5 linked regions of the Oryctolagus cuniculus genome follow. The protein of the gene in region 2 purifies or fractionates together with the protein of the main gene of each other region. This does not show direct contact. Links are inferred from orthologs where the notes say so. Each region holds a gene or a part of one and is shown on either strand. Other genes may lie near its edges.

What was found.
Region 1: the proteins of PTEN (region 2) and OTUD3 purify together in Homo sapiens (affinity purification with western blotting; 3 studies listed by BioGRID and IntAct, with this or other methods). This does not show direct contact. The link is inferred for Oryctolagus cuniculus from reciprocal best matches to the Homo sapiens genes PTEN and OTUD3.
Region 3: the proteins of PTEN (region 2) and PARK7 purify together in Homo sapiens (affinity purification with western blotting; 4 studies listed by BioGRID, with this or other methods). This does not show direct contact. The link is inferred for Oryctolagus cuniculus from reciprocal best matches to the Homo sapiens genes PTEN and PARK7.
Region 4: the proteins of PTEN (region 2) and USP10 purify together in Homo sapiens (affinity purification with western blotting; 4 studies listed by BioGRID, with this or other methods). This does not show direct contact. The link is inferred for Oryctolagus cuniculus from reciprocal best matches to the Homo sapiens genes PTEN and USP10.
Region 5: the proteins of PTEN (region 2) and CENPC purify together in Homo sapiens (affinity purification with western blotting; 3 studies listed by BioGRID, with this or other methods). This does not show direct contact. The link is inferred for Oryctolagus cuniculus from reciprocal best matches to the Homo sapiens genes PTEN and CENPC.

Annotation. Positions count from the first base shown.
Region 1 is NC_091438.1:150,769,984-150,774,160, forward strand, and holds part of OTUD3 (OTU domain-containing protein 3), read right to left. Parts: intron 3,108-4,177; coding exon 2,959-3,107; intron 1-2,958.
Region 2 is NC_091446.1:42,814,059-42,818,928, forward strand, and holds the start of PTEN (phosphatidylinositol 3,4,5-trisphosphate 3-phosphatase and dual-specificity protein phosphatase PTEN), read right to left. Parts: upstream 3,042-4,870; 5' UTR 3,041-3,041; coding exon of another isoform or gene 3,014-3,040; 5' UTR 2,497-3,013; coding exon 2,429-2,496; intron 1,970-2,428; exon of another isoform or gene 1,060-1,969; coding exon 965-1,059; intron 802-964; exon of another isoform or gene 1-801. UniProt on the Homo sapiens protein: Dual-specificity protein phosphatase, dephosphorylating tyrosine-, serine- and threonine-phosphorylated proteins.
Region 3 is NC_091438.1:159,774,606-159,779,290, forward strand, and holds the start of PARK7 (Parkinson disease protein 7), read right to left. Parts: upstream 3,076-4,685; 5' UTR 1,979-3,075; exon of another isoform or gene 1,937-1,978; intron 1,321-1,936; exon of another isoform or gene 1,165-1,320; intron 1-1,164. UniProt on the Homo sapiens protein: Multifunctional protein with controversial molecular function which plays an important role in cell protection against oxidative stress and cell death acting as oxidative stress sensor and redox-sensitive chaperone and protease.
Region 4 is NC_091449.1:66,212,912-66,217,795, reverse strand, and holds the start of USP10 (ubiquitin carboxyl-terminal hydrolase 10), read right to left. Parts: upstream 2,968-4,884; 5' UTR 2,851-2,967; coding exon 2,830-2,850; intron 1-2,829. UniProt on the Homo sapiens protein: Hydrolase that can remove conjugated ubiquitin from target proteins such as p53/TP53, RPS2/us5, RPS3/us3, RPS10/eS10, BECN1, SNX3 and CFTR.
Region 5 is NC_091439.1:97,746,590-97,750,766, reverse strand, and holds part of CENPC (centromere protein C), read right to left. Parts: intron 2,997-4,177; coding exon 2,926-2,996; intron 2,090-2,925; coding exon 1,995-2,089; intron 1-1,994. UniProt on the Homo sapiens protein: Component of the CENPA-NAC (nucleosome-associated) complex, a complex that plays a central role in assembly of kinetochore proteins, mitotic progression and chromosome segregation.

The sequences.
Region 1 (4,177 bases), on a different chromosome or scaffold from region 2:
TGGCACAGCAGACAGCAGTTTTACCCGCTACATCACAGAGCCGGCCCCCATATGTTTTCTTACTAGATATGTATCTATAAAATAGGAAACCAAAAGGGGCCTGCATCTTGGCACAGCGCGGTTTAGTTGCTGCAAGACTGGTTTGAGTCCTGGCTTCGTATTCAGCTCACTACTAATGCACTGGGAAAGCAGTGGAAGATGGTCCAAGTACTTGGTCCCTGCACCCACATGGGAGACCCAGATGGAGTTCCAAGCTCCTAGCTTTAGCTTGGCCCAGCCCTGACTATTGCAGTCATTTGGGGTGTGAACCAGTAGATGAAACAGTTTTCTCTCTCGGTCTCTACCCTCTCTCTGTCACTCTGCCTTTTTTTATAGGCCATTATTTTTTCTTTTTAATATTTATTTGTCTGAAAGGCAGAGTGATAGAGAGGCAGAGGTAGACAGACAGAGGTCTGGGTCCGGCACTGTGGTGCAGCCAGTAAAGCCACCGCCTGCAGTGCCAGCATTCCATATGGGCGCTGGTTTGAGATCTGGCTGCTCCACTTCTGATCCAGCTCTCTGCTATGGCCTGAGAAAGCACTAGAAGATGGCCCAAGTCCTTGGGACCCTGCACCCTCCCCAGATGGCTACAATGGCTGGAGCTGTTCCAATCTGAAGCCAGGAGCCAGGAGCTTCCTCCAGGTCTCCCACGAGGGTGCAGGGGCCCAAAGACCTGGGCCATCTTCCACTGCCTTCCCAGGCCATAGCAGAGAGCTAGATCAGAAGAAGAGCAGCCAGGACTTGAACTGGCACCCATATGCTGCAGGCAGCAGCCTTACCCACTATGCCACAGTGCCAGCCCCTGCCTTTCAAATAAATAAAATAAATCTTTAAAACTCTTCATCTTTTATTTTATTTATTTGAAAGGTAAAGTGAGAGGGAAAGACAGAGAGAGAGAGGTCTTCCATCCACTGGTTCACTCCCCAAGTGGCTGCAACGGCCAGAGCTGGGCCAAGCTGAAGCCAGGAGCCAGGAGCTTCTTCCAGGTCTCCCACATGGATGCAGGGACCCAAGTACTTGGGCTGTCCTCCAGTGCTTTCCCAGGCACATTAGCTGGAGCTGGATTGGAAGCAAAGCAGCTAGTACTCAAATCAGTGCTCATATAGGATGCCAGCATCCCAGGCAGCAGCTTAACCCACTGTGCCATAATACTGTGCCCTGCTTTCAATTCTAGCTTCCTGTTAATAAACACCCTGAGAGGCAGCAGGTGACAGCTCAAGTACGTGGGTCCCCAATATTCACATGGGGGATCAGGACTGAATTTCAGGTTGCTGGTTTCATCCTGGCACAGCCATGGACGCAGTACGCATTTCAGGAATGAAACAGAAGACAGGAGATCTCTCTCTGCCTTTCAAATAAAATGAAAATAAATGAATATTTTTAATCTACTGATTTAAAATACCCATAGTCTCATTATCCTAAAATTGCATATACTTAATGGGCATTCCTTCTAATTTTGTTATCTAATTTAATCTTCCCAAGAAACCTTGTAAGACAGCTGTTTTTTTGTTTTTTTTTTTTGTTTTTGTTTTTGTTTTTTTTTTTTTGGACAAGCAGAGTGGACAGTGAGAGAGAGAGAGAGACAGAGAAAGAAAGGTCTTCGTTTTACCATTGGTTCACCCCTCAATGGCTGCTGTGGCCAGTGCACCGCGCTGATCCAAAGCCAGGAGCCAGGTGCTTCTCCTAGTCTCCCATGCGGGTGCAGAGCCCAAGGACCTGGGCCATCCTTCACTGTACTCCCGGGCCACAGCAGAGAGCTGGACTGGAAGAGGGGCAACCGGGACAGAATCCGGCACCCCTACCGGGACCAGAACCTGGTGTGCCGGCGCCGCAGGTGGAGGATTAGCCTAGTGAGCCGCGGCGCCGGCCAGAAGAGGTGCTTTTATTATCTCCCTTTTATAGAAGTTTAAAGAGGGCCGGCGCTGCGGCTCACTAGGCTAATCCTCTGCCTAACGGCGCCGGCACACTGGGTTCTAGTCCCGGTCGGGGCGCCAGATTCTGTCCCGGTCGCCCCTCTTCCAGGCCAGCCCTCTGCTGTGGCCAGGGAGTGCAGTGGAGGATGGCCCAGGTGCTTGGGCCCTGCACCCCATGGGAGACCAGGAAAAGCACCTGGCTCTTGGCTCCTGCCATCGGATCAGCGCGGTGCGCCGGCCACAGCGCGCCAGCCGCGGCGGCCATTGGAGGGTGAACCAACGGCAAAGGAAGACCTTTCTCTCTGTCTCTCTCTCTCTCACTGTCCACTCTGCCTGTCAAAAAAAAAAATAATAATAATAATAATAATAAAAAAAAGAAGTTTAAAGAGGGCAAGTGATTGCTGGAAAGTGTACCTTTCCAGACTTTTCCTACCATCTGTGTACCTTGTAAAAACAGGACCTGTCTAGCCACACTATTTTGTTTTTAATTCCATTTTATTGGACAGGCAGATAAACAGAGAAAAACAGAGGGATCTTCTGCCCACTGGTTCACTCCCAAAGGCCTACAACAGTTTGGGAGCTCAGCCCAGGTCTCCCACATGGTGTCAAAGAGGCGAGTGCTTAAACACGGCTGTCTCCCTGAGCGCACAGCAGCAGGAAGCAGAGGTAGACTTTGAACGCAGGCACTCTGATACGGGATGTGGCCATCCCAAGCCACATCCTAACCACTGCGCCACATGCCACACCCATACACACTATTTTATAGGCTGCCTCACTGAGTAAGAAGTCAGGACAAGCTTTTCATGTCAACTGACTTCATTTTCATGAAGGGCATTTATACTTACATCTATTGATTGCCAACTACCTAGCATACTGGTGCCTATTACAAAGTAACAAGTGAGCTGTAACTCAGACGATCAAGCCCTAGGGGAAGGCCAGGGATGCGGATGGACTTAATCACCCCCTGCATTATTCCAGAAGATTCTGCATCCCACAGTGAACCTACCGTGCTTCTCGAAAGGAACATCATCTTCTACAAACGGCTCAAAGTCTTCCCGCTGCCTCACCATGAAGTCCACTGTCTCCTGTCGGTGCTTGAGATGATTTCGCGAGTGTCCCTCCAGCTGGTCACCAAGAGCTCTGAACAGGCAATTGCTGCCAAAACAGGAACACTGGTCACGACCTTCCAAATGCGGACTCAGTTTACCTAAAACAATGTTTCGTGCCAGACCCTCCTCGGAAATCTCTCAGAGGTCAAGCTTCAACGCTAACCGTACATGATTCTTTGATTCTTTCCCAATCCTGGGGAGGCGGGGGGGAGGGGGGGCACAAGAGAGCTACCCAATCACATCACCTTCCTGAGAGGAATGAACAGGAACTCGTGCCCACTCACCAGCTGGCTGACTCAGGAGGGTCAGGCAATGTCCTGGGCCTCAGCAAGTGGACGTTGGGAGAGCGTAGGGTCTCCCAGCAAACACAGGGCCCAGACCTCAGAAGCCATTCCACACCTCAGGGCTGTGAGTCCTGGATCAGATCCCTCCCTGAAACAGGCGTCACTACAGCAGTCCACCTAAGTAACTGTTCATATAACAGACACTGCTTCTCAAAAGACGGCAATTGGTGAAGCTCCCAACACAAACAACTGAACTCAACATGCTGAGTCCCAAGAACACAGTGGAGAAAGCCAGAAAGCGCACGGACAGCAGCTGCACTGTGGAGACATCTCCTCCCTCGCCCCCTCACCTGTCTGTCAGCCAGCCAGCAACAACGCCCAGGTCATTCCTGCCAAATAAAAACCTGAAATACTGCGTTCTGTTTTTCGAAAATTAAAATGTCAGCAATAAACTGTAAGAGTTATGTTTACTTTCAAATGCCTCAAAGGCATCTACAATTCCAAACTATATCACAAACACAGAGGCCTGGATACAGAGACGAAAAGAAGACAAACACAATCTGGTACCCTGACAACTAAGCAAGTGCGCCACTCGGAAGCTAACAGCTGCCCAATTTCACACTAAACTGTTTACTCTTCCAAATGAAAAGCTGGGATGCTCTAACCCCAAACAGAAACTCATCCGTTTCAGGAGGATTTCAGACTTCCATGTGTAGGAGAAAAGGTTTTTTGCTTTGCAGTTCAGAAAAGTACATTTTCAATAGACTGTAACAGGGTGGCAGGAAACTCTTCTAATGTACAATCTCTTCTTTTTTCTTGGAGGGAGCAAGAA
Region 2 (4,870 bases):
CTGAAACCTGAAGAAGGTGAGTACTAATTCTGGCATCACAGTAATACTTACATTTCAAGTGAGAACTGAGGTTTAATCTCTGCAACTACTACTTGCTACACACATTACCCTTGAACCTGCACATTATCATCTGGGATCAAGAACTACTCAGTCTCCATTCCATCATGAAAAGAGCATTCAACATAAAACGCTACTGGAAATGCAAATTTTACTCCGGATTCTACATCACCCACTAGGAGAGAAAACGGCTAACTGAACAAAGATTTAGTGAATCGAACCTTATAAGGTGCACTGTGGCACTACTGATTTCAAACTACAAAACTTCTAAGTGCAGTTGCAAGCTGTAATTAACTTCATTTACACATACAAACCTACTTTTGCCCTCCCCACACACACCACATATACTGAAAATGGTTTTGCTTCTAAACTTACACCAATCAGTCCACAATTCACATTTTTAAAAGAATCTACCAATGCAACCCTAGAAACTAAAAACAAATCACTGCGCGATTCTGATGCAATATGCGGACGCGGAACACTAATTTTCATTTTAATCTGATCTATACCCTTGATCTAGGGCCTAACAAGATTGAATCGAAATATGCTCAATCTCCAAGCGTCTACTTTTTCGTTCACCTACAAGACCGGATTATCGAGCCCACTAATCCATCAACAGTGTACAGTATTCGGCATTAACGGACAATGGCCCTTAGGAAGAGACCACATACATGCACTACGAAACCAATCAGTGCCTTGACACTTGCAACCAGGCACGAGTTCCGTCTAGCTGAACACACCCTGGGCGGAATACACCCGAAAAGAGACACAAAAATCCATGCTCTGGAAATCTGACCAGGGCTCAACGCTACAGCTACCCCAAACTACGGAACATTTTCGCACTCGTCTACTCCCACGTTATGCGAGTGACAGAAAGGCAGAGAGCTGCCGCTGCAGAAATGGATACAGGTCAAGTCTAAGTCGAATCCATCCTCTTGATATCTCCTTTTGTTTCTGCTAACGATCTCTTTGATGATGGCTGTCATGTCTGGGAGCCTGTGGCTGAAGAAAAAGGAGGAGAGAGATGGCAGAAGCTGCTGGTGGCGGGGCTTCTTCTGTAGAATGGAAATGGCTCTGGACTTGGCGGTAGCTGATGCCCCTCGCTCTGCTGCCGCTTGGCTCTGGACCGCAGCCGGGTAATGGCTGCTGCGGCGGCTGCTGGATGGTTGCAGCGACTGGGCCTGCTTCTCCTCAGCAGCCAGAGGCCTGGCAGCGGCGGCAGCGGAATGGGGAGAAGACGAATAATCCTCGGAACGGCTGCCTCCTCCGGCGGCCTCCGGAGCCCGGGCCAGGGAGAGTGCGGCGGCGGCGGAGGGAAGGTTTAAAACCGGCCCGGGTCCCTGGATGTGCCGCCGCCGCCGCCGCCGTGTTGGAGGCAGTAGAAGGGGAGAGACCAACTCTCCGGCGTTCCCAGCCCTGGAAATGGTGACAGGCGGCTCCGAACCCCTCCCGGGAGCTGCAGCCGCCGCGGCCGCCGCCGCCGCCGCCGCTTCTCCCCCCCGCTCCAGGAGCGGGAGGTGCCGCCGCCGCCGCCGCCGCCGCCGCGCCTCAGCCGGCTCCCGCCTGAGCCCACGGCTTCCACCTTCCCTCGCAAGAAAAGCCGAGGAAGAGGCTGCACGGTTAGAAGAGAAGACGAAGAGGAGGCGAGAAACGCCGCCGCTGCCGCCGCCGCAGGCCGGCCGGCTCCCGGAGGGCGCTGCCCCCGCGGCTGCTCACAGGCGCTGAGAGGGGCTCTGGGCCGCGGCCGCCGCCGTCTCTCATCTCCCTCGCCTGAGCCGGGCCTAGCCTCACAGCGGCTCAACTCTCAAACTTCCATCATGGCTGCAGCTTCCGAGAGGAGAGAACTGAGCGCAGCCGCGTCCCAGCGCCCGGGCGCGTATCCTGCCGCAGTGCACAAAGAGTCCCGCCACATCACCGTCGCCGGCCTGCCCGCCCCCTCCGCCGCCGCCGCCGCGCCGGGAGCCGGGCCGCCTCGGGAGCCCGAGGGGAGGCGGGGGGCGAGCTGGAGGCGGACGGGACCGCGCCGGGGGAGGGGAGGGCTGGGCCGCGCCGGGGTGGGGTGGGGGGCGGGGGCGGCAGCTCCAGGTGCGAGCGCAGGGCCCCCAACCTGCTGGTGCTATTGAGCATGCCCAGTGTGACTGCCTGGGGCTCGCTCGGGCTTGTTCCGAGGCGCCCGCCCGTAGCTGCACTTGCCGCGGCTGCTCCTGCAGCAGCTCGGGGCGGGGGAACGAGCTCAGCCTCGGCCTCTGCCCGGACACCCGGCCGGAGCCAGGGCAGACTGCGGCGGGGCGGCGTGGGGGCGGAGGAAGGTGGATGATGAAAACTGAGACTGGTGCGTTGAGCGGTGTCGCCGACTGCAGTGTGAGGTTACCTGTGCACAGGTGGACCGCGCGGGTCAGTATCTAGGGAAATGCCGCGAGGACACCCCTCCCCCGCCATGGCGTGCGAACGCACGCACTCCGTTTGTCCCGCTGTGGACGATCGCGGCGGTTCGCAGGGATCTCACTGTCGCAGCCTCTGCCTAGAGCGCCCGCGCCGCCGCCGCCGCCGCCGCCCCCGGGTCCTCAAGGTGTCAGCCTCAGCACAAAGAACGACCCCCTATTGTGTCTCCGGCGGCGCGTCTCGCCTCATCCGGCTCCAGTCACCGCCCCACCTCTCGCTGCCCCAGCTACTCGGTTCATTTGCCCGAAAAGCGAAAGCTCTCAGCCGGGCGCGCTAGAGTGCACACGTCGCCCCCCGCCCCGAATTCCCAGGGCCCGAGGGCCTCCTGCCTAGGCCGCCTTAAAGAGGATCCCCGTGAGCGGGACGCACCCCCACAGCTCCCTCCGCGGCCCCCGGAGAGCTGAGCATCTGTCCCCTCAGGCTCCGGGTCCGTTCGCGGCGTCGAACTCGAGCTCGGTCCTCAGAGGCTGCCTCGCCCCGCCCACTCTCCGGGCCGCTGAGAAAACCTGGCACGATGAATCGCCCGCGGCCAGCTTCCGCGCTCGCCGGGCCGGCCGGTGCACGCTGGAGGCCCAGGTTGCCGGCCCGGGCGCGGCGTTCAGGACGGTAGGAAGCGGCAGCCCCGCGAGTGGGCGGGGCGAGGAGCCCTAGGAGGGTTCAAAAGGGGGTGGAAGGATACCCGAGCCACCGTCGGAACTACTTTCAGGAAGGGGTCACGTGTGCTCCGAGTTGGGGAACTTTCCAAATTCCCACTCCTCCAAGCGTAGCTCCGGAGGCAAGTGCTTCGCCAGCTACGCTCGGGGTGCTCCCGCCTGGCGCGGGCAGCACCCCCACACCCTCCCAGGCTGCAGAGGGACGGGGTTGGGGATGGCCAGTGGAGCCTCCACAGGATCGCTGTCTGGGCTAGCTGCTGGGCAGGCACCCCCATCCAAGCACGTGCCCCCGCTCCCGTGCACCGCTGCTCTCACCCTTCTGCTACCCACGGAGTGAGCTCTCTCTGCTGTGGATTGACAAGCACTGCTTGTTCTCAACCGTGGGAAAAGGGGCCGGGCCCGAGGGATCTGGCGCATCTCCCTCGTTGGTTGGGGTGAACCCTCTGGTTCCGTGCTGTCGGGGCCAAAGGCTCGTTCCCGCTGCGCCTGCTGCTTGGATTGCAGGTGTTGCAACAAACTTTTGAGTCGCTACCCCTGCACTGGTGAGCACGCCCCACCTACTGTAGACTCAGCCAAGTGCCTTATCTGGTCTAGTCCTTGGCCGTATGCCCAGAACAAACCTGTCAAGTCTTTCTGCAGCCCCGTGGTTGACCTATCCAGTGAGTGAGCTGGTTCACAAATGCTTAGACCTAGAGCGCCTCCTCAACCCCCTCCCCAAAATACGCACATCAGTCAGCTTCAAAATGAGAAGGGGCGTCAACCAACACCAACCTACGAATTTTTTTTTCTCTCTTTCATTTCCCCCCACTCTCCTCCCACCCCACCCGGCGCCCCGCTCCAGGAAAGTAGAATTCCAGGGGAAAATTTGAGTTCAGAAGTATCTGACTTAGACCAGGCTGAAGCCCTAGGTTGTTTTTTTCTTTTTCTCTTTTTTTCTTTTTTTTTTTTTTTTTTTTTTTTTGACATCTGAGAAAATGGGAATCAGTTGGCACATGTGTTGTGATAAATGGTGAGTAGATACCTAGAAAGGTCTAAAGCCGAGTTTTCTTGTGAGGAAGATTGTAAATGTGCACATCATCATTACAGGCAGCCCCTGAAGACTAGAAACCTCAGGAGGCCCAGCTCAGAGAGCCACAGGCCATTACCTAACTCCAGGACTGCTAATTAAACCGGGGATATTTAGGGACCTCTGAGGCTACATAAAACTGCATTTATATACAACATCCTTTTAAGATAGCACTGCAGGAGTTAGCAACCCGCTGAAGCCTCGGTGCTGGTATTTATTGGAGACTGGTTTTGTGCATGCTTCTGGTCAGCTCCAGGGAGGCAGGGATCCTAAGTGGAAAAGGAAATGGAGAGTAATCTGGAAAGAAGAAAAAGGCTTCCTTTGGTTTCCAAAGATGGAAACCCTGTCCACACAACCTAGTGTGAGCTAGAGATTTCTTTATTTTACAAATAACCTGGGCTAAGGAGTCCCTGATGTTTAGGTATTGCATGGTAAAAAGGAGAGCTGTGCTCAATGGGTATCAACTGCTGCTTGGGAGGAAAAGGGGAAATGAAGACACAGTTAAATGAGGGGAGGTAGATTGCGGCTGGTTAAGTGTTCCACATTTGTTTCTCAGGTTGCCTGTCTCTGTCCCCAGAGTACCTGCTATTAGCACTGCTCTACTCTGCCTCTCCCCTGGAGCCTACCCTGGTGGTGATTAGTCTCACAGCGT
Region 3 (4,685 bases), on a different chromosome or scaffold from region 2:
ACACTCGGCCAGGCTGGTGCTAACACTGAGTGTGAGACACACTAGGCCAGGCTGGTGCTAACACTATGTGTGAGACACACTCGGCCAGGCTGGTGCTAACACTATGTGTGAGACACACTCAGCGAGGCTGGTGCTAACGCTGAGTGTGAGACACACTCGGCCAGGCTGGTGCTAACACTGTGAGTGTGTGACACACTCACCGAGGCTGGTGCTAACACTGAGTGTGAGACACACTCGGCGAGGCTGGTGCTAACGCTGTGAGTGTGAGACACACTCAGCCAGTCTGGTGCTAACGCTGTGTGAATGTGAGACACACTCGGCCAGGCTGGTGCTAACGCTGTGTGAGACACACTCAGCCAGGCGGGTACTAACGCTGTGTGAGTGTGTGACACACTCGGCCAGGCTGGTGCTAACGCTGTGTGAGACACACTCGGCCAGGCTGGTGCTAACGCTTTGAGTGTGTGAGACACACTCGGCGAGGCTGGCGCTAATGCTGTGTGAGACACACTCGGCGAGGCTGGTGCTAACACTGTGAGTGTGTGACACACTCGGCAAGGCTGGTGCTAACGCTGTGTGAGTGTGTGACACACTCGGCGAGGCTGGTGCTAACACTGTGAGACACACTCGGCCAGGCTGACGCTAATGGCGTGAGTGTGAGACACACTCAGTGAGGCTGGTGCTAACAGCGTGTGTGACACACTCGGTGTGGCTTGTGCTAACACTGAGTGTGAGACACACTCAGCGAGGCTGGTGCTAACGCTGTGTGAGACACACTTGGCCGGGCTGATGCTAATGGCGCGAGTGTGAGACACACTCGGCGAGGCTGGTGCTAACACTGTGAGTGTGTGACACACTCGGCCAGGCTGGTGCTAATGGCTCAAGTGTGTGACACACTCACTCGGCGAGGCTGGTGCTAACACTGAGTGTGAGACACTCAGTGAGGCTGGTGCTAACAGCGTGTATGACACACTCGGTGTGGCTGGTGCTAACACTGAGTGTGAGACACACTCAGCGAGGCTGGTGCTAACGCTGTGAGTGTGAGACACACTCGGCGAGGCTGGTGCTAACACTGAGTGTGAGACACTCGGTGAGGCTGGTGCTAACAGCGTGTGAGACACGCTCAGCAAGGCTGGTGCTAACGGCGTGAGTGTGTGACACACTCACTTGGCAAGGCTGGCGCTAACGGCGTGAGCGCGAGGCTCCTTCGGAAAGTCAACAATGGAGAGTTTATCTCAGCACCAAAATGTCTGTAGTCCACGGGCGTGAAGGACGTTGCACATAGTGACAACGAATTGCAAATCCTGAAAAACACTACGCGTGGACTCCAAAACGCCGCTGGCGCCCACGTCAACTCATTGTCTCTAACTCTGTCCCCACGAACGCTCAGGGGCTCCTGGTTCCCCGTGGGAGTTTCCGTCACGTTTTCCTCAGTTTCTTTCCTCACGATCCACCGCAGAGCAAGCGCCCTCCACACGAACCCGACACGGCCCTGCGTGACCGCGGCTCTGCGTGGCCGCTCCCCGGGGCGGCCCGAGGGTCACGGCGGGCCCCGGCCACTCGCCCCCGGGGGCTTGGGACGGGCGGGGCACACTCAGCACGGGGGCGTCGCCCACGGCCCGGGCTCCCTGGCCGCGGATGCCCGGCGGACCGAGACGGGAACGCCCGCCCAGGACCCCTGCGCGCGCGGCCCGCCCCGGGGGCGAGTCCTCTGCAGCGCCCCGCTCGGGACGCGACACCACGGACGCCAACACCGCGGGGCTAACGACCCCCGCACTGCGGAGGTGCTCGGCGTGGACACTGCGGCCTCCCGGCGGCCGGGACGCGGTGCTGCGTCCGCCCCGGCGTCCCCGGCAGCAACGCCGCGCCCTCCCGCGCCCTCCCGCGCCCTCCCGCGCCCTCCCGCGCCCTCCCGCGCCCTCCCGCGCCCGGCCCGCACCCGGTGCCTCTTCCTGCAGACGCGACGCCGCGGACCACTCACCCCGAGCCCACCTCAGGCAGACGCAAGTACGCGCACGCGCGCACGCACGTTCGCCGGGCCCCGCCCCTGCGCCCCGCAACGCGCAAGCCTACGTCGCCCTGCGTCACATCCGGCCGAGTCCATCCTGACGGCGACGGGGGGGTTCCGTCTCGTCCGCTCCGCACGCCGCCCCCCTGCTGCGGATGGCACGGCCCTGCCCGCCCCGGCCGGGGTCACCTCGCGCTGTGCGCGCTGCAAGGTGGCGCCGTCCCGCGCCTCGGGGCGGCTGCGGCGCGCCTTAGGCCGGCGTTCTCGTAGTCTGTGGTTCTCTTTCCCGGGCTCGCCCCTGCGGGGGCCCGCGACCCCGAGTGGCGCTTCGTTCACGCGCAGTGACGTCATGGTGTCTCCCCGGCGGAGCTGATGTCGCGGCTGTCAATCCAACAAGCACGGAATGGGGTCGTGTAGGGTTTTAAAATGTCGGTTTCAGCCGAGACGGCGGGCGAGTGCGCTGCGCGGCCGTGCCTGTGGGTGCGACGCCCGCGGGGCGGCCCAGTGGGCTGTCCTGCGCTGCCCCGCACCTCGCCCGCACCCCGACGACAGGTGGATCAGGGCGCGGTGTAACCCCGCACGTGCGTGTGGGGGGAAGGAGGCCACAGCCCGAGGGAGGGAGGACGGCAGGACCCCCGCCCGCGTCCGAAATGCAGCCTGGGGGTCCGTTTCGGAAGCAGCCCTGGGGAACTGACCGGGGGAAGTGGGGCCTCAGCCGCGTGGACCGCTTCCCCGGTGCGGTCCCGGGACCCCGAGGCCCACCGGTGCTGTAAGGGCCAAGGCCAGGGGCACCGTGAGGAGCCTGGCCTCGGGGCTGTGATGCCCACCGAGCCCACCTCGGATTCCCACCGACAAGAGTGACTGGAGGGCAGAGCCCCCGGTGGGGGAATACATTGCCCAACTCCGTGTTCTAGAATAACGATCAAGCGATGTTCTAAGTATGTCGGCGTTTCTGTAAGGTTTCAATTTAGATATTAAAATCATGTTTATTTTCAAGAAATAACTGTTAGCTTACAAAAAATCCATGTATTCCGTTTGATCCTTACAAGGCAGTGAAAATGTTTAATAAAAAAAATTGTTAACAGTGTGGCAGGCGTTTGGTGCAGTGGTGAAGATGCCACTCAGGGAGTGGAAGCCACGGGCTGCGACCCTACATCTTCTATGGGCACCGGTTTGAGTCCAGGCTGCTCCACTTCTTTTTTCTTTAAGGTTGATTTATTTATTTGAAAGTCAGAGATACACAGAGAGAGGGAGGCAGAGAGAGGTCTTCCATCCATTGGTTCACTCCCCAACGGCTGGAGCTGCTCCGATCTGAAGCCAGGAGCCAGGAGCTTCTTCCCAGTCTCCCACGCGGGTGCAGGGGCCCAAGCACTTGGGCCATCTTCTACTGCTGCTTTCCCATCACTGCAGAGAGCTGGATCGGAAGTGGGGCAGCCGGGTCTCTAATCTATGCCCATATGGGATGTCGGCACTGCAGGCTGCGGCTTTACCCGCTATGCCACAGCGCAAGCCCCAAGGCTGCTCCACTTCCCATCCAGCTCTCTGTTATGGCCTGGGAAAGCAGTGGAAGATGGCCCGAGTCCTCGGGCCCCTGTACCCGCGTGGGAGACTGGGAAGAAGCTCCTGGCTCTGCTCTGACACAGCCCCAGCTGCTGCAGCCACTTGAAGAGATCCAGCAGGTGAGATCTCTCTTTCTCTCCGTCTTTCCCTGTAACTCTGCCTTTCAAACATAATAAATGAATCTTTTTTTAAAGATGCCACTTGGGATCCCCATTTCAGGAGTGCTTGGGTTCAAATCCCAGCTCTGCTTGATTCTGGCTTCCTGCTAATGCGAATCAGCACGGGAGGGCCCAAGTTCTTGCCACCCTTATAGGAGACCTGGATGGAGTCTCCCGGCTTCAGCCTGACCCAGCCCAGGCTTCTGGAGCCATGGCTATTTGGGAAGAGGACCAGCAAATGGGGAATCTCAAAATATTTTTTCAAATTAAATGTCTAAGAAAATTGAGTTTTCAAATTAAATAAATCAATCCTACAGCCGGCGCCGCGGCTCACTAGGCTAATCCTCCACCTTGCAGCGCCGGCACACCGGGTTCTAATCCCGGTAGGGGCGCCGGATTCTATCCCGGTTGCCCCTCTTCCAGGCCAGCTCTCTGCTGTGGCCAGGGAGTGCAGTGGAGGATGGCCCAAGTGCTTGGGCCCTGCACCCCATGGGAGACCAGGAGAAGCACCTGGCTCCTGCCTTCAGATCAGCACGGCGCGCCAGCTGTGGCGGCCATTGGAGGGTGAACCAATGGCAAAAGCAAGACCTTTCTCTCTGTCTCTCTCACTCACTGTCCACTCTGCCTGTAAAAAAAATAATAATAAAAAAATAAAATAAATAAAAAAAATAAATCAATGCTACAAAAACTCGAAAGGTTTTAGGCAGATGGAAGGAAAATCTGTCGTTCCCCATAGTAAACCCTTAAGGGGGTTTAGGGTAGTGGTCTGCTGGGGCAGGAAACAGCCACAGCACAGTACAGACGGCTCAGCAGGGAGCAGAACAAACCAGAGTTTACACTCCTGAGATACCGGCATCACCGTCAGGTCTGCAATGGATCGGGGTCAGTATTGCTTTTGAAATGATTATTATTTTGAGACATACAGAAAATAGAGTGTTCCCATCTGCTAGTTCACTCCCCGA
Region 4 (4,884 bases), on a different chromosome or scaffold from region 2:
GCCAGGAGCCAGGAGCTTCTTTTGGGTTTCCCACACGGCCATCTTCCGCTGCTTTCCCAGGCCATAGCACAGCAGAGAGCTGGAGCAGAAGTAGAGCAGCCGGGACTCAAACAGCCACCCATACGGATGCTGGCACTGGAGGCAGCAGCTTTACCCGCTACGCCACAGCGCTGCCCCCCCGCCCAGCTCTTAACCCAGCCAGTACTGACAAAACGGTCCCGGAAAGACCTCTGCGTGACCACACCGATCACCAGGAAAAGTGCAGCCCAAGCACATGCGAGTCTTTGGAAACGACACCTACACTGCTGAAGTGGCACTAAAGTGACAGATGACAGTAATCCAGCGGCCCCAGGCCAGCAAACTCCACCGCAGACAGATTTGTCTGCTTTGTGCCACGGTGATTCCTGCATGTGCGGCAGTGAATAGAAGCGGGGCAGCCGCGTGCAAATTCAAGAGCAAGCACGTCCTAACCCTTCACTCTCCAGCAGGCCAGCAGGAGCGGCGCCCTCAGCAGCCAGGCTTAACGGGGAAGCAGACCTAGCAAGAGTCACCTACAGGTCTGAAATCTGCATTAAAAATATATAAAAAATAAAAAAGCAAGAGGCCAGTGTCACGGCGCAGGAGGTAAAGCCATCGTGTGTAATGCCAACTTCCAACATGGGCACCGGTTCGAGTCCTGGCTGCTCCTCTTGTGATCCAGCTCCCTGCTAACGGCCTGGGAAAGCAGCAGAAGGTGGCCCGAGTGCTTAGGCCCCTTTACCCGTGAGAGACCCAGAAGAAGCCACTGCGGCCATCTGGGGAGTGTCCAACAGTCGGAAGGTCTCTCTCTCTCTCTCTGTACATCTTCCCTTTGCTCTCTGTAACTCTTCCAAACAAATAAATAAATTTAAAAAAGAAGGCAAAACGAAATAGCCTCACTGTAACTAATTCGAGTGGAGACGACCCCGGTTCCCCCACCCCTTGAGTGTGTTCTGAGCACGGCATGTGCCCACGCCCCCAGGTCTGGGCTGAAAGCCGGCGTCCAGCCTCAGGGCCACGTCCCTTCCCCTGACAGCGCTGGAACACGGGCCCGGCGTCTGCTCTGGAGAGGAACCCAGAGGGCAGGGGGCCACGCTTCTCTCAGGGCCACTTCAGAACACTCTGGGCCCAGCCACACGGAGGACAGGCCCTGGATGGGGGCCGCTGGCACCAGACACGCCACGCCCACTCAGGTGACAGAGAACACACACCTGTGGCATCGCATCTAGTCTCGGGATGCGCCCTCTACATACAGTCAGTACCCCAGCACACTGCAGGAATGTCACCACACCCGGCGGGTCCCCACAGCCCCCAGGGGATGAAGACTGGGGGGGGGGGCGCTCAGCGCTGTGAGGCTCCGGGGCAGGGAGGCGTCAGCCAGGCACTCGCAGGTCCCTCGGGACCACAGACACTCATGGAGCAGACACACTTACTCTTCAACAGGGTTCAACCCTCCCAAGCCAGCGGCACTCAAAATGTTTCCAACTTCACTGCTCCACTTCCGCGCAGGGAATGGGCTCAACCAACACTTCCCAGTATGATGGAAACAGGCTACAATCCACACAAAACTGTAAAACTGTAGCCTTAACAAGTCGGTTGTAAAGGAGGCTAACTGGGGCTGCTACTGCGATAGCTACCTCGTACCGGGTCAGCCTGCCTGGCTCGGGGCTCGGCGATCGCTGCTGAATGAATGACGGGGCCCCAAGCGCCCAGACTCTCGGGACAGCGTGACCGAGACCCGGCCGGTCCAACAGCCAAACCCTGCTCAGGACGCCACTGCTTCCTTCCACCACTCTCTTTTAGACAGGAAAGGAAGAGGGGTCCAACCGCGCTCGGCCCCGAGGCGCAGGTCAGTCTCGCGCTGGCCAGAGGCACAAGTCCCGGGCCACGGACGCAAAGGCCATCGCCAGGAGGCACGCGTGGCCTCCGCGAACGAGCCCGGGCACCGAGTATAGGAAGTGCGGGAGCCTCTGTGCACGCGAAGCCCGCAGAAACGCACGCCAGGCCTCCCGGGGGAAAAGCCCGCGACGCACCGGCTGCCCGGCGACCCGAGTACCGGGAAGTTCCGACGGCACGCCGGAGCGGGCGCCCCAAGAGCGGAGCCCCCCGAGAGGTGCTGTCCGTGCATATTTAAGGAAAGGCCCGCGGCCCGCCCGGGGGAGCCGCCGCCAACAAAGCGGCGCGGCAAGGCGGGAGCTGCCCCGCCGCCCGCCCCGCACCTACTTTGTGCCGCTCTCCCACCTCTCATTCAGAGGCGCGCGGCGGCCGCCCAGGCGCCGGCGCCGGGGCCCGGGGCTCAGCCGGCGCCCAGCCCGGGGTCCACGGCCGGCGCGACCCCCAGCCCGCGCCCCGCGCCCCCAGCACCTCCCCCCCGTGCGCGACAGGGGACCCCCGCCGCCGCGCCCCCCGCCGGCGCCGCCCCGGGCCCCGCGGCACCCGCACGCCCGCGCCGCTGTCCTCAGCGGCCCCGGCCCCCGGCCCACCCGCGCCGGCGGGTCCCGCGGGGTCCACGGCGCTGGGGGCGGCCCGGGGGCGTGGGGCGCGGGGCGCGGGCGGCGGCGGCAGGCCCGGGCGCGCCGACGGCGCCGCCAGAGACCCCGGGGCCGCGCCGCGCCCCGCTCGCCCCGGGAAGCCGCGGGGCCGGGGACTGGGGAGCGGGAACCGGGCGGCGGCGGCGGCCCCGGGGCCTAGGCCCGGGCGGCGGGTCCCGCGCCCTCCCCCACCCCACACGCTCGCTCCCGGCCGCCCGCGCCCGCGCGCGCTCCCCCAGGCTCGGGCCCCTTCCGGCCGGGGGCGCGGGCCGCCGGCTACCTGCGGGCTGCGGAGGGCCATGGCGGCCCGTTTGAATGGGACTCGGCGCGGCCCGGCGGCTCACGCTGCTTCCCCCGCCGCCGCCATCTTCTCGCCCGCACATACACACTCGCATCGGCCGCCGCGCCTGCGCACTGGCGGCGCGCCGCGGGGCGCGGGCGGCCGGGGCGCTGCTGCGCGTGCGCGGCCGGCAGGTGGGCGTGCGCGGGCGCCTCCGGCCGGGCCGGGCGGCCGCGGGAGCCGGGCCGGTGGACTGTGAGCCCCGCCGGCTCGGGCAGGTGCGGGCCTGATGGGGAGAGGGCGTGCAGGTGCAGGGGGAGCTAGTGCCCCCAGCCCCCGGGGCCCTCGCTGCTCCAGGAGAGTCTCCCTTGGCTGATCAGACCCCCGAGGAGGGCGTCTCCAGATTAGCGGAGTCGCCCTCCCGTGCGTTCGTTCACTGCTTCCCTCGCGGTTCTGCCGGGGCCCTGGCTCCGAGCCACGCCTTACGCGGGCATTGCAAACCCAAAGCCAGAAGCACCGAAGCCAGGCACACAGGTGAAGCGCCTGCCGTGAGGCCTGGCCACCATCCTGGGTCCGGGGAGCCCCCCGAGCGCGGGCTGCCACCGTGTGTGCGGCTGTCACGCGCCCACGGGGAGCCCGGGTCGAGCAGCCCCCGGTGATGCATCCTGCAGCCGGCGCAGCCCCAGTGGCCGGGCAGTGTGCGGAGGAAGCGCTACAAAGACGCCGCAGTGAGATACATTGGGTCTCGGTGGAATCCCCAGTGTTGCAAGCTGGTGTTACTGTTTGTTTTCAGGATTGGTTGTCAGAGTTACAGAGAGAGAGAAATCTTCCATCCGCTGGTTCGCTCCCCAGATGACCCAAGCGTCCAGGACTGGGCCAGGCCGGAGCCAGGAGCCAGGAGCTGGATCCGGGTCTCCGACATAGGGGGCCCAAGTACGTGGGCCGTCTTCCGCTGCTTTCCCAGGTGCATTAGCAGGGAGATGGGCTGGAAGTGGAGCAGCCGGGACTTGAACCAGAGTCCCTGTGGGATGCCCGCTGCTGGCCCCTGCGGCTTGTTTTGTGATAGACAGATCAGAAATCGGGTTACATATAGATGATGAGTGAATTACTGCTGACTTTCATCACGTGATGATGATGTTGAGCTTGTGAAGAGAATGCCCCCAGGCCAGCATTGTGGCGAAGCTGGCAAAGCCACCATCTGCAAGACCAGCATCTCATATGGGTGCTGGCTCCTGTCCTGGCAGCTCTACTTCAGATCCAGCTCCCCACTAATGGCCTGGGAAGAGCGGCAGAGGATGGCCCAAGTGCTTGGGCCCCTGCTACCCATGTGGGAGACCTGGAAGAAGCTCCAGGCTCCTGGCTTCAGCCTGGCCCAGCCCTAGCTGTTGTGGTCATCTGGGGAGCGAACCAGATGGGAGATTCTCTCTGTCCCTGCCTCTCTCTCTGTAACTCTGACTTTCAAACAGATAAATAAATCTCAAATAAATAAATGAAGAACACCCTCATTGTTAGGAGATTCGTTCTAAATTTAGTTGTGAATATCATAATGCTTGCAAACTTTATAATAGTTCAGCAAAAAAAAAATAGAATTCATATAAACACAAACATATATAGAGAAAGCAAATATGGCAAAATGTTAACAGTTACTGGAGTAAGAGTTGTTATTTTTCAACTTCCTCTGTTTGAAAATGTTTTTAACAAAATGCGGGGGAAATAGGATCTATCATTATGTCTGTTCTATGATTACAAGTGCATATGGATAGACACTGGAAGGGACACCAAGTCCAGTGACAATTTATAGTAGTCCATGTTTTTATAGTAATGTTGCTTCAGCAAAAAAGATTTTTTATTATGATAATGAGGCGGGCATTTAGCCTGGATTTCAGTGTCCACGTCCCACATCAGAGGACCTGAGTTCAAGCCCCAGCTCCAGCTCCTGACTCCGCCTTCCTGCTAATACAGACCTCGGGAGGCGTCGAGGACGATGGCTCAAGCCATTGGGTTCCTGCCACCGTGTGGAAGTCCTGGGTTCGGTTCCCCACTCCTGGCTGCAGC
Region 5 (4,177 bases), on a different chromosome or scaffold from region 2:
TTTTTGAGAAAATAATTTCTAACTTAGAATTCTGTACCCACCCAAATTATCCATCAAGAGGGTAAAATCAAGGTATTTTCATACTTGTAAGGTTTTAATTCTCAGGAATCTAAAGAAGAGACCAAGAAAAAGGAATACTTATGATTCAAGAAGTATAACGTGCAATTCACAAAAGCAAAAAGATTTTGTAGATCACATAGTATTATCTCTGTGACAAGCCTTAAAGTAGACAGATGAAGAAAAAAAATAATCTAAGAAAGGTATCTCCAGAAAAAAAAACTGAAAATGATTAATTACTTGAAGTATCTGCTTATACTTAGAAGACATTTATGGAGCCGGCACCATGACACAGTAGGTTAATCCTCTGCCTGCGGCGCCAGCATCCCATGTGAGCACCGGTTCTAGTACCGCCTGTTCCTCTTCCAATCCAGCTCTCTGCTATGGCCTGGGAAAGCAATAGAGGATGGCTTCAGATCCACACAGCTCTGGCCGTTGCAGCCATTTGGGGAGTGAACCAACAGAAGGAAGACCTTTCTCTCTGTCTCTCCCTCTCACTCTGTAACTCTACCTCTCAAATAAATAAAAGATCTTTAAAAACAAAAAAAGAAGACAATTATACTTTTGTCACAGATACTCATAATGAATCAGTCACAGGTGCTCAGAAGGTCAAAAAATGGAAAAACCAAGAAAATTAAATCAAGAAAAAAACAGCTATAAAAATAATTATAAACAAAAAATAACTACATGAAGAAAATTTAGCCTCTAGTATTCTACAGTGTATACTTAGTCTTAATAGTTTAAAAAATAAATACTGTCTTACCAAAATTATAGCATAAAGTGCTAAAAAGTAGAAGTGCATATGTTCTGGTAGAAAGCAAGAGTGTAATGACAAACACAGCTTAAACTTCCATAAACAATAATGGTATAAATACTAGAGGCAAAATATCTAGAAGAAATAGCTAAGAGTCAAGAAATCAGAACTGGAGAGTATCTAGTGTTTATATCCTAATATGATTTGAGCAACTATGTAAATATCTATACAGATAATGCCATTGATCTTGAGAATTAAAAAGAAAAATTTGCAAAATGATGGGAAAGAGAATAAAATAGTAGAATCAGTAGATTAATTTTTTTGAAAATGCTAATGATGAAGTATGACCTCTGACAAAAAAATTGTGTAAATGAGCAATATATTGAAAAAAAGAAAGAAACCTATTACATACTATCCAGAAGAGGAACCTCTAGCATAATCCTCAAAGCCCTACAGAACATTTTAAGAAAAAAAATACTCATGAACACATATGGAAATACATAAATATATATTAGCAAATCTGATCAGAAGATCTGATTTATGGTCAAGTCAGTTCATACCAAGAAACATAAAGTTGACTTTATAAAAAATCCATGTAATTTGTCACACTACCAAAGGCCTTTTAATTCTGAAAAAAAAAACAGCTATGTCTTCATTCCTTGGAATCAAACACTATATGTTTAAAATGTTGATTATTTATAAGTTTTTAGTAAATGTTACTTCTAGGACCACATAATTTTTCTGATTAGTACTGTGTTTTTGAATAATCTATCTTGGATGATTAGCTTTAAAAACTGTAAATAAATATGTATAGTTGTCATGCTATCCTCTTAAGACATAATCAACAAAAGATTAATTTCGCTGGATAGCAACAGAATGCCTGCAATTTTCAAAAAATAATCAGATTTGTAAATCTGTTCTGGAACTTCAATAATTGCTCACTTTTCTAAAAACAAAATTAGATATTATTTTAGGAGAAATGATCAAATGATTTTTATAATTCCTAGACTCTCAATTTCAAACACAAAATGTATCAAATCATAATTTGTAAATACTGTCTCAAATTTTATAGAAAATGAATAGGATTACAGAATTTCCTTTCAGATTTACAAACTAAAATGTTCATAGTATATTAACCACTTCTTTCATTAAATTATTATACCAGTTCTTCTTTTGGACTTACCTCTTTGCCTGGTGACTGAAAACAACTGTCTTTTACTTTGGGTGTTGAACAAAGCACTGATTTTGTAGAATTTGTGCTAAAGTCATTAGCAAGACCTAGAAGAAATTTATGAAACATAGTATAATATCTATTGGCTTTCATTAAAAGTAGTTCTATATGACACTTGAAAAAGTGGCTGTTGCCTCTTTAAACACAATTAGCTTAAATAAAGTACAATACTCAACTATTCAAATGCTCCTGAAAGGTATCAAAAACTGAGAAAGGCAAACAAGACTCCTCAAGAAGTATGTGCCAGCTCTTTGCTCAGAGCTTGTACAAAGAGGTATCTTTCCACTAACAATGGGCAATTTACAAAGAACAGAAATTTGTACCTTAAAATCGTGAAGGCTGGTAAGTCATGGAGATTTAACTGGTGAGGCAGCAGGCAGAAGGGCAAGACAGCATGCCAGAGATCAAGATTAAATTACTAACCTCAAGCCTTTTGTAATCAGCATTCATTCATTCATGACGGTACAGCTCTCACAATCTAATCACCTGTCAAAGGTCTCACCTCTTAACACAGCTGCATTAGGGATTAAGGGTCCCAACATGTTTTCGAGACTAACTCAAACCATAATATCTACCATCTATCCTTATTTCTTATGGTTTGCCTATTCTTACTCCAATACTTTCTGATGCTCACTTGAAAAGTTTTTGCTATAATTCATAACTTCCTTAGAATGGGATGTAAATCACCAGATATGGGGATGAAAATTGTCATTTTTGTCAACATTATCCTAAGTATATCAGGAATACATGAGGGATTGCATATGTACTCAAAATTCTGAATATATATTTAAATGCTAGAAACATGTTTGCTACATTTATTAGGACAAATTTATATTTTTATCCATTGCAACTGTCAGAATTTCATCTAGAAATAAAACCTTACTTCTTTCTTCAAAACAGTCTTGTAAGAATTCCAACATGTTCTGGCCTTGTTCTTTATTAATATTACGTGCCCTAATAAGACACAAAAAAGAGACAATGTAACATATTATTTCTAGAACATACTTGTTATTTGTTATTATTTAATTGAAAATTCTTATCATTATTATAAAACTGTTAATAGGAAAATATTTCTACTATTTGAAGATAAAACAAGTACTTGAGGGTATGTCATTATCTACATAAACAATTATATTCCTTAGTTAAACATTCATGTCTAAAGCTGTTTTAGACTACTACTGTATGTCAACAAGCACATAAATGTTTTTGAATGAATCCAATCAGTCCTTCAAAGACTTTACAGTCACAAGTACCAACATTTTCATATTCCTCCCTACAAGTTCCCAACTGTTCCTTTAATTCAATATATCTTACCAGTTCATGAACCAGTACAAATTTTTAAATTACAAATTATGTTGAGGGGCAGGCTTTGTGACTTAGTGTGTTAAGCTGCCGCTTGCAATGCTGGCATCCCATGAGCACTGGGTTGAATCCTAGCTGCTTCACTTCCCATCCAGCTCCCTGATAATGCACCTGGGAAAGCAGTGGAAGATGGCCCAAGTATCTGGGACTCTGCCACCCACGCACAAGGGAGATCTGGATGGAGTTCCTGGCTCCTGGCTTTGTACAAACACACATAATTGGTCCAAATAAATTTAATCAGATTTTCTAGGGTGATTCAGATGAGTCTCATGTGCAAATCTGGTTAATAACCACTAATGAATCATATTCCCTTACTTTGCAAATAGGAAAACTGAAATCCAGTTAGATCAAATGACTTGCCAAAGTTTGAAAACCTTATTACTATTAATAAAAGAGCTTGTAATAGCATATAGGTCACTGCTGAAAATTCTGGCCTTGAAACTACGCTAGAATACCATATATAATAGATATACACTGTACAACTACAAATAAAGGCAGGCTATCCCCTATTTCACAGATGAAACCAACACAGATCAGATGACTTGCTAAAGAATATAATGCAGTCACTATCAGAACACAGGTCACCAATACATAGTCTGCATGTAGTGTCAGATAGGAAGTTCAGCTGAAACAGTGTGGATACAAATTTTTGGCAGTCAAGTGACTGAATACAGGAGAGAAAGTCATTTATAGTCACCAAATCCTATAGCTTTTTCAAAATTTTTCCAATGGTCTGACATTGGGGTACAGCAGGTTAAGTCACTGTTTTTGAA